Linked DNA regions of Danio rerio. The protein of the gene in region 1 interacts with the protein of each later gene in a biochemical or structural test. Links are inferred from orthologs where the notes say so. Each region holds a gene or a part of one and is shown in the gene's direction. Other genes may lie near its edges.

The links.
Region 2: the proteins of akap1b (region 1) and mycbp form a complex in vitro, tested with the Homo sapiens proteins (2 studies listed by BioGRID). The link is inferred for Danio rerio from reciprocal best matches to the Homo sapiens genes AKAP1 and MYCBP.

Annotation. Positions count from the first base shown.
Region 1 is NC_133190.1:33,440,499-33,444,318, reverse strand, and holds the end of akap1b (A kinase (PRKA) anchor protein 1b), read left to right. Parts: intron 1-398; coding exon 399-466; intron 467-548; coding exon 549-622; intron 623-711; coding exon 712-777; intron 778-3,283; coding exon 3,284-3,346; 3' UTR 3,347-3,453; coding exon of another isoform or gene 3,454-3,687; 3' UTR 3,688-3,736; downstream 3,737-3,820.
Region 2 is NC_133194.1:32,763-36,218, forward strand, and holds mycbp (C-Myc-binding protein), read left to right. Parts: upstream 1-1,524; 5' UTR 1,525-1,534; coding exon 1,535-1,549; intron 1,550-2,033; coding exon 2,034-2,106; intron 2,107-2,198; coding exon 2,199-2,247; intron 2,248-2,428; coding exon 2,429-2,558; intron 2,559-2,768; coding exon 2,769-2,816; 3' UTR 2,817-2,941; downstream 2,942-3,456. UniProt on the Homo sapiens protein: May control the transcriptional activity of MYC. Stimulates the activation of E box-dependent transcription by MYC.

The DNA of each region.
Region 1 (3,820 bases):
AGTTATAAGGTTATCAATTACTGTCGAAGTAAATCTGAATATTTAGCTTAGTCTTTGGTTTCACATAACCCTTCAGAAATAATTCTGATATAATGTGCTTATTTAAGGAAATCAGTTGTTCTACTCAATAATTTTTTGTAAACCATAGCATCTTTCCAGGATTCTTTAAATATAGTTTATGTTGATCAATTTAATGCACTTTCGATTAATTAAATTATCAAGTTTCTTTTAAAGAAAAAATAGTATGCATGTAGAATTATGGTGTTTAACATTTTATGAGAATATTTCTGTCACAGATGGTGAATTGCTGATCATGATTGGTTATTTTACATATTTTAAAAAATCATATTTGTTATGGCCTTAAATTAAATGATAAGTTAATTCAATTCGCTTTTCAGGTCAGACTTTGTGACATTACCCTTCCAAGGAACAGAAGTGCTATTGGACAACATTGCCCCACTACCAGGTGCCTTGTTTTAAATGTCATAAGTTGAGTTCGTCATCATTTCGCTCTATCTAGATCTCACTGTTGTTTATGTCTTCATTAGGAGAGGATCGGTTCTCAGCAGAGGCCAATTCTGCACTGGAAGAGATGACGAGAGGGGTTCCATTGCTGGCACAAGTGAGTCTTTAAATCATTCATTAATGCATGACATTTATGTTGATGCTGTTTACAAGTAACATAATTTAATGGCCAATTTTCTCATGCAGGTCACCAACTATGACAATAATACAGGACTTCCTTTAGTACACATGTGGAACATGGTGGGAGAGGAGGTAAAAATATCTGATTTTACATCCGTCTACATGTGCTAATCTATCTCCTCTTTACACATACACACAGTAGTCAGCAGCTGAAGTGGATATATACAGGGCTTGGATGATGAAACTGGAACACTGGCCAGTTTAGTGTTTGCGGTATTATGGCTAAAATTGAACACCCTAGTGACTAATCTTCATTGATGGCACATTCCACCAGTAAGAGCAGAGCGTGAAGGTTTAGTAAGCAAAGAAAAGGTTACGTTTGTGGGACAAATTGTTGGTCCTTGCCTCTGGTGTATCTGACCAACACAGCAAGTCTTTGATGTATCAAGAGCCACAGTATCCAGGGTAATGTCAGCATACCACCAAGAAAAAGAGCCACTTCCAACAGAAGTAACTGTGGATGCAAGAGAAAGTTGTCTGAAAGGGATGTCTGGGTGCTAACCCGGGATTGTATTCAAGAAACAAAATTAAATGTGCATCTTCACTCTCCGTTTTCACCTAAACTGTTCGTCAGGAGCTCCACAGGGTCAATATACATGGCCGGACTGCTATAGCCAAACCTTTGGTCACTGATGCCAATGCCAACTGTCAGTTTCAATGGTGCCAGCAGCGAAAATCTTGGGTTGTAGACAATGTGAAAGATGTATTGTTCTCTGAGTCCACCTTCACTGTCTTTTCCATATTTGGGACAGTTACGGTGTGGAGAAAGAAGCATACCACCCAGATTGTTGCATTCCTATAGTGAAGCATGGTGGTGAATCAGTGATTTTTTTGGGCTGCAGTTACGTGGCTTTCTCTAGGCCCAATACTTGTGCTAGATGGCCGTGTCATTGTGAAGGACTTCTGAACCATTCTGGTGGACCATGTGCACTCATTGGTTCGCACAATGTATCCTAAAGGTGGTGCCGTATATCAGGATAATAATGCACCAATGCACACAGCAAGACTGGTGGCAGAGTTCTTTGATGAACATAAAAAGTTGAGTTGAACATCTCCAATGGCAGGCCTGCACAGTCACCAAACTAAATGTTATTGAGCCTCTTTGGGGTGTTTTGGAGGAGTGAGTTAGGAAAGGTTTTCCTCCACCAGCATCACATAGGCTACGTTCACACTGCAGGTAAATGTGGCACGAATCAGATTTTTTTTCCCCCTCATGTGACAGGTGATGACAGTGTGAACAGCCCGAACCGCATGGAATCTGATCTTTTCAGGTCAGATCTGTGCCACTTTCATATGTGGTCTTAAATCAGACACAGATCTGATGTTCTGCACTGCGACCGCAGTGTGAACGGATATGTTGGATTTCATGTGACTTTTACACAATCTTTGAGTGACATGCGTCATCATTCTGTGCTGCAGACATCATCTACCTCTCAGCAGCACAGTAGAATGGCACACAGGGCGATTACAGTACCACAGAAAGTTGGTTGTTCATGTTGAAAAAGATTTTGAAGGCATAACTGGTGCTTGTTAACTAATCTGGTTAACGATTGAGGCACGGGTTGATTGCGAAGCCGAAAAGCGTTGTGGGTGTTACAGATAGGGGATTCGGGTGCAAATGAGGAAGAACTTTCTCTCCGAGAGAAAAAAAGGGCAGGTGCTCGAGCACCCAAACCGCCCTTCTGCACGTGTCTGCTGTTTATAACGAAGTAAAATTAAGTAACTCCTCAAACAGAGATAAACCAACTCTGCCTTCACAGCTCAGTCTGCGGCTGCTCATTAACCCTTGATGAGTTCACTACACCTGTGGTCAGAGCGCCACGCACCGCGCTTCATAAATCACAAACGATCAGTGTTTTTTTTTTTTTTTTTTTGTTTATCACAGGAGACTTATTTTAGGTCTCAATTGCCGAAATACACATTAGTAGTGGCTGAGCAATCATTTACAGCTCATGAATTAAACCACGGTTGTCTGTGAAAAGGGTAATAATCATATAAGCATGATCTGACAACGTGCTTACTCATGCAGCACACACAGGTGCATAATTTTGTGCTCTTTGTAATGCACTTTTGCGCATGCGGGTCAGTTTAGGACCATGATCTGTTCACACTGCAAATCTGATATTGGCCACATTTATAAGAGCAGTGTGAACAGCCATGCAAAAACATCAGATCTGAGCAAAAATCAGATTTAAGCACTAAGCCTCGTAATGTGAACGTAGCCATAGTGACCTGACTACTATTCTGTAAGAAGAATGGCTAAAAATCCTTTTGGCCATGGTGCAAGACTTGTATCTGTCAGTCCCAAGACAAATTAATGCTTTATTTGCTGCAAAAGGAGGTCCTGCACCAATACTAATGATTTATTGTGATTCAGTTTCATTCAGTCCAACCCCTGTATGTGTATATAGATGGATGATTATTTATTTACTTTATTATTGATATTTTTTTATTCTTTATTTACTTCAAGTTTTTTATTTGAAGAAATGTTTAAAGCACAGCAGGTTGTTTATCATTCCATATCTTTTAGAATGGTAAAATGTGATATAACTTTGATACTCCATTCCTTCTTTTGCAGCTGGTCCTGCTCAATCGCACTTTGGCAGAGCGAGGTTTCGGCACCTGGGTGGACAGTTTCTGATCCTCCAGAGCTCCTCGCCCTGCTCTCCTCACTCACCTCATGGCCCACCTGCCCCTTAATAATCACCACTCATGGATATCTGCAGGTTCAGTCCTGTCCTCTCCCACCGTGTCCTCCACCACCACCTCCTGAAGTGCGCATCACTGGCTCCTGGAATAAATTTTTTTCTTCTTTCCTTTTTGATTTGCTTTCCCCTGCATACAGCCTTTTTCTGTTTTCTTTTTTCATTTCTATCCCCCTTGCGTAAGAAATTTACTGTACGAAAAAAGAGAAAGAGCCAATCGTCAAGTTACCGAACAACCAATAAGGACTCAAGTGTTATTGACTTTGTGCTCTTGTAAATTTAAAATATTGTAACTAAAATAAAGGTTAATCATGTTTTCCGTCCAATCAGACTCCTTCCAGCACACACAAAAAGAAAAACAACTGTGGATTATCTTGCTGTGGATTTGAAGAACCTGTAGTAATAAAGTA
Region 2 (3,456 bases), on another chromosome or scaffold:
TGTGTTGTGTCGTGTTGTGGTGTGTCGTGTTGTGTGTCGTGTTGTTGTGGTGTGTCGTGTTGTTGTGGTGTGTTGTGGTGTGTCGTGTTGTGTTGTGGTGTGTCGTGTTGTGGTGTGGTGTGTCGTGTTGTGGTGTGTCGTGTTGTTGTGGTGTGTTGTGTTGTGGTGTGGTGTGTCGTGTTGTGGTGTGTCATGTTGTGGTGTGTCATGTTGTGGTGTGTCGTGTTGTTGTGTTGTGTTGTGGTGTGTCGTGTTGTTGTGTTGTGTCATGTTGTGGTGTGTCGTGTTGTGTCGTGTTGTGGTGTGTCGTGTTGTTGTGTGTCGTGTTGTTGTGGTGTGTTGTGGTGTGTCGTGTTGTGTGTTGTGTTGTGTCGTGTTGTGGTGTGTTGTGGTGTGTTGTGTTGTGTGTTGTGTCGTGTTGTGGTGTGTCGTGTTGTGTGTCGTGTTGTTGTGGTGTGTCGTGTTGTTGTGGTGTGTTGTGGTGTGTCGTGTTGTGTTGTGGTGTGTCGTGTTGTGGTGTGGTGTGTCGTGTTGTTGTGGTGTGTTGTGTTGTGGTGTGGTGTGTCGTGTTGTTGTGGTGTGTTGTGTTGTGGTGTGGTGTGTCGTGTTGTGGTGTGTCATGTTGTGGTGTGTCGTGTTGTGTTGTGGTGTGTCGTGTTGTGTGTTGTGTTGTGGTGTGTCGTGTTGTTGTGTTGTGTCGTGGTGTGGTGTGGTGTGTCGTGTTGTGTGTTGTGTTGTGGTGTGTCGTGTTGTTGTGTTGTGTCGTGGTGTGGTGTGGTGTGTCGTGTTGTGTGTTGTGTTGTGGTGTGTCGTGTTGTTGTGTTGTGTCGTGGTGTGGTGTGGTGTGTCGTGTTGTGTGTTGTGTTGTGGTGTGTCGTGTTGTTGTGTTGTGTCGTGGTGTGTTGTGGTGTGTCGTGTTGTGTGTTGTGTTGTGGTGTGTCGTGTTGTGGTGTGTCGTGTTGTGAGGGTGAGCGACTCGTTCACTTGCCGACAGTAATACATGTTTCTGGCAGCGCAGCATGTCGTTTTCATATTTCTTTTGCATTGTTTGCTGATTTTATTCAACAAAACTAGCATAAGCCGAGTGTTTAGTGCGAGTTGGAGCTGCTTTGCCGTATGGTGAATGCAGTAGTGACTGTATTATCATCAATAACGTTACCTGTTTAGCACAAAAGTTCAGAACATGCAAAAACGTAAAAAACTTAATCTTACCTATGAAATGTTCTGCCTTTGTGCTTTGTTTTCTTTGTTTGCTCGTTACTACACCCGTAGACAGCGCTAAAGTCCCGCATCTTCACGTAATAACACTGTCTTGAATGACATTGTCCTGGGAGCACTGTACCAATGTGGCGGCACTATTGACGCATGCTCAGGCTCCCTATGCGATATCTAGTGTATATATCTATGGATGTCGCTGCCGCCCCTTTAAGCGTTGCCTGGGTGACGGTGTGTGTGTGTTTGTTCCGTCTTTCCTCTGCGCATGTGCACGCGAGAGTCTATCAGCGAGTCAAACATTTGGTGTCTGTCGTCCGCGATGGCGCATTACAGAGTGAGTAAACAACAAACAAACAAACACACACACAAACACAAACAAGCTAACCGCTGAAAGTCGAGCTTAGACACGCCGTTTAATGAGACCGGAAACGGAGAGCGCTGAGAGGCGTCCGCAGCTGAGCTCAGTCAGAGGAGCTGAAGACCCGCGCTGAAGGTTCCTTCATTCCTGTCTGCCTCAGGCGACGGTCCACACGCAGACCAGTGTTAAACCAGCGCTAAAGAAACGCGCTGCCCGTGTGTGTTTGTATGTGTGTTTGTGTGTTTATGTGTGTGTGTGTGTGTGTGTGTTTATATGCGTGTTTGTGTGTGGTGTCTGGAGCGAAGCGTCTTCTCTGAGCTGATGAGCTTCAGCTGGAGCTGTAATGATGAGTGTGGAGAGCTCCAGCGGTGTGTGTGTGTGTGTGTGTGTAGCTCACTCTGCTGTAGACAACACCGCCTGATGAACTGTTTCTGTAATGTGTGTTTCTCTTCTGTTTCAGGCATCCGAGTCGAAGCGTGAGCAGTTCAGGAGATATCTGGAGAAAGCTGGAGTCCTCGACAGCCTGACCAACGGTGAGTCCAGGCAGTTTCAGCCCGTGATGATGATGATGATGATGATGAATATCATTCCTCAGCGTGTGTTTAATCTGATGTCTGCGTTTCAGTCTTAGTGGCGCTGTACGAGGAAACGGAGAAGCCCAACAATGCCTTGGAGTATCCTCACACACACACACCCTCACCCCGCCATGTTTCCCGCTGTCTGCTGAGTTTGTGCTCATCTTTGTGAATAATATCAATGTTTTATTCAAATTCATGAGCGCTGCTGTAAGAGATAGAATAGCCCAAACTAGCCTCCTCCTATCTTAACTAACCCAACCTTAACGAGCCGCTTCAGCTTCATCAAGCATCATCTGGGGGTTTCGGGAGTGGAGGCGGAGGATGCGGAGAGTCTGCGGGAGGAGCTGAACACACTGCAGCAGAAACACCAGCAGCTGATGGAGGAGAACCAGGAGCTGAAGAGCAGGGTGAGCGCACACACACACACACACTCTTACACAGGTATGCTAGCTTTCTTACACACACATGCTCACTCACTCACAGACAGGTGTGCTTGTGTACTCTGTCTCTCTCTCTCACACACACATAGTGGCTCCCTCACACATTACTCTGCTAAACATGAGCTTAGCCAAATCTCGTGTGTGTGTGTGTGTGTGTATGTGTGTGTGTCTCCACAGCTGCTGCAGTATGAGCCGCCACAGGATGAAGCAGCAGCAGTCGAGTAGAGGAGCTCCAGCAGATCTGCAGAAAGTGTGTGTGTGTGTTGGTTTAGTGACAGGATGTTGAAGACCTGTTGATTGTTTCTGTTCAGCTTTGTGTCTGATGTTGAATAAATATTATTTTGCAATGATCCTGCTGTGTGTGTGTGTGTGTGTGTTGAGCACTTCACTGTTCCTCTTTACTGATTCTTCAAACTATACTCACATGGACTTCAGTTGAACGCCCCTGAACACATCCAGAACACACACACACACACACACTGCAGACTCCTGAGCTCTTACCATCACATCTAGAGGAGTGATGATGATCAACGGGTGAGATGGTGTGTGTGTGTGTGTGTTCATGCTAATGCCATGTCACTCTCGGTCTCTGGTCAGGTGCTCTAGTAAGCAGAGGGACAGCAGCACGTCTTCAGTGTGTGGTGTGTATTCTCCAGCCGGAGTAAGCGGTGTGTGTGTGTGTGTGTGTGTGTGTGTGTGTGTGTGGTGTAATGACTGCACTGCAGCTCCTGAGTAATGAACAGAGGCCTGCAGGATCTGCTCTGAGCACCGACACGTGTAGATGAGCTTTACCGTCTCCAGACGCCGTGTTCAGCCTCTGCTCATGTTAAACAGCTGTGATGCATCTTATTGTGCTGCAGGTGAT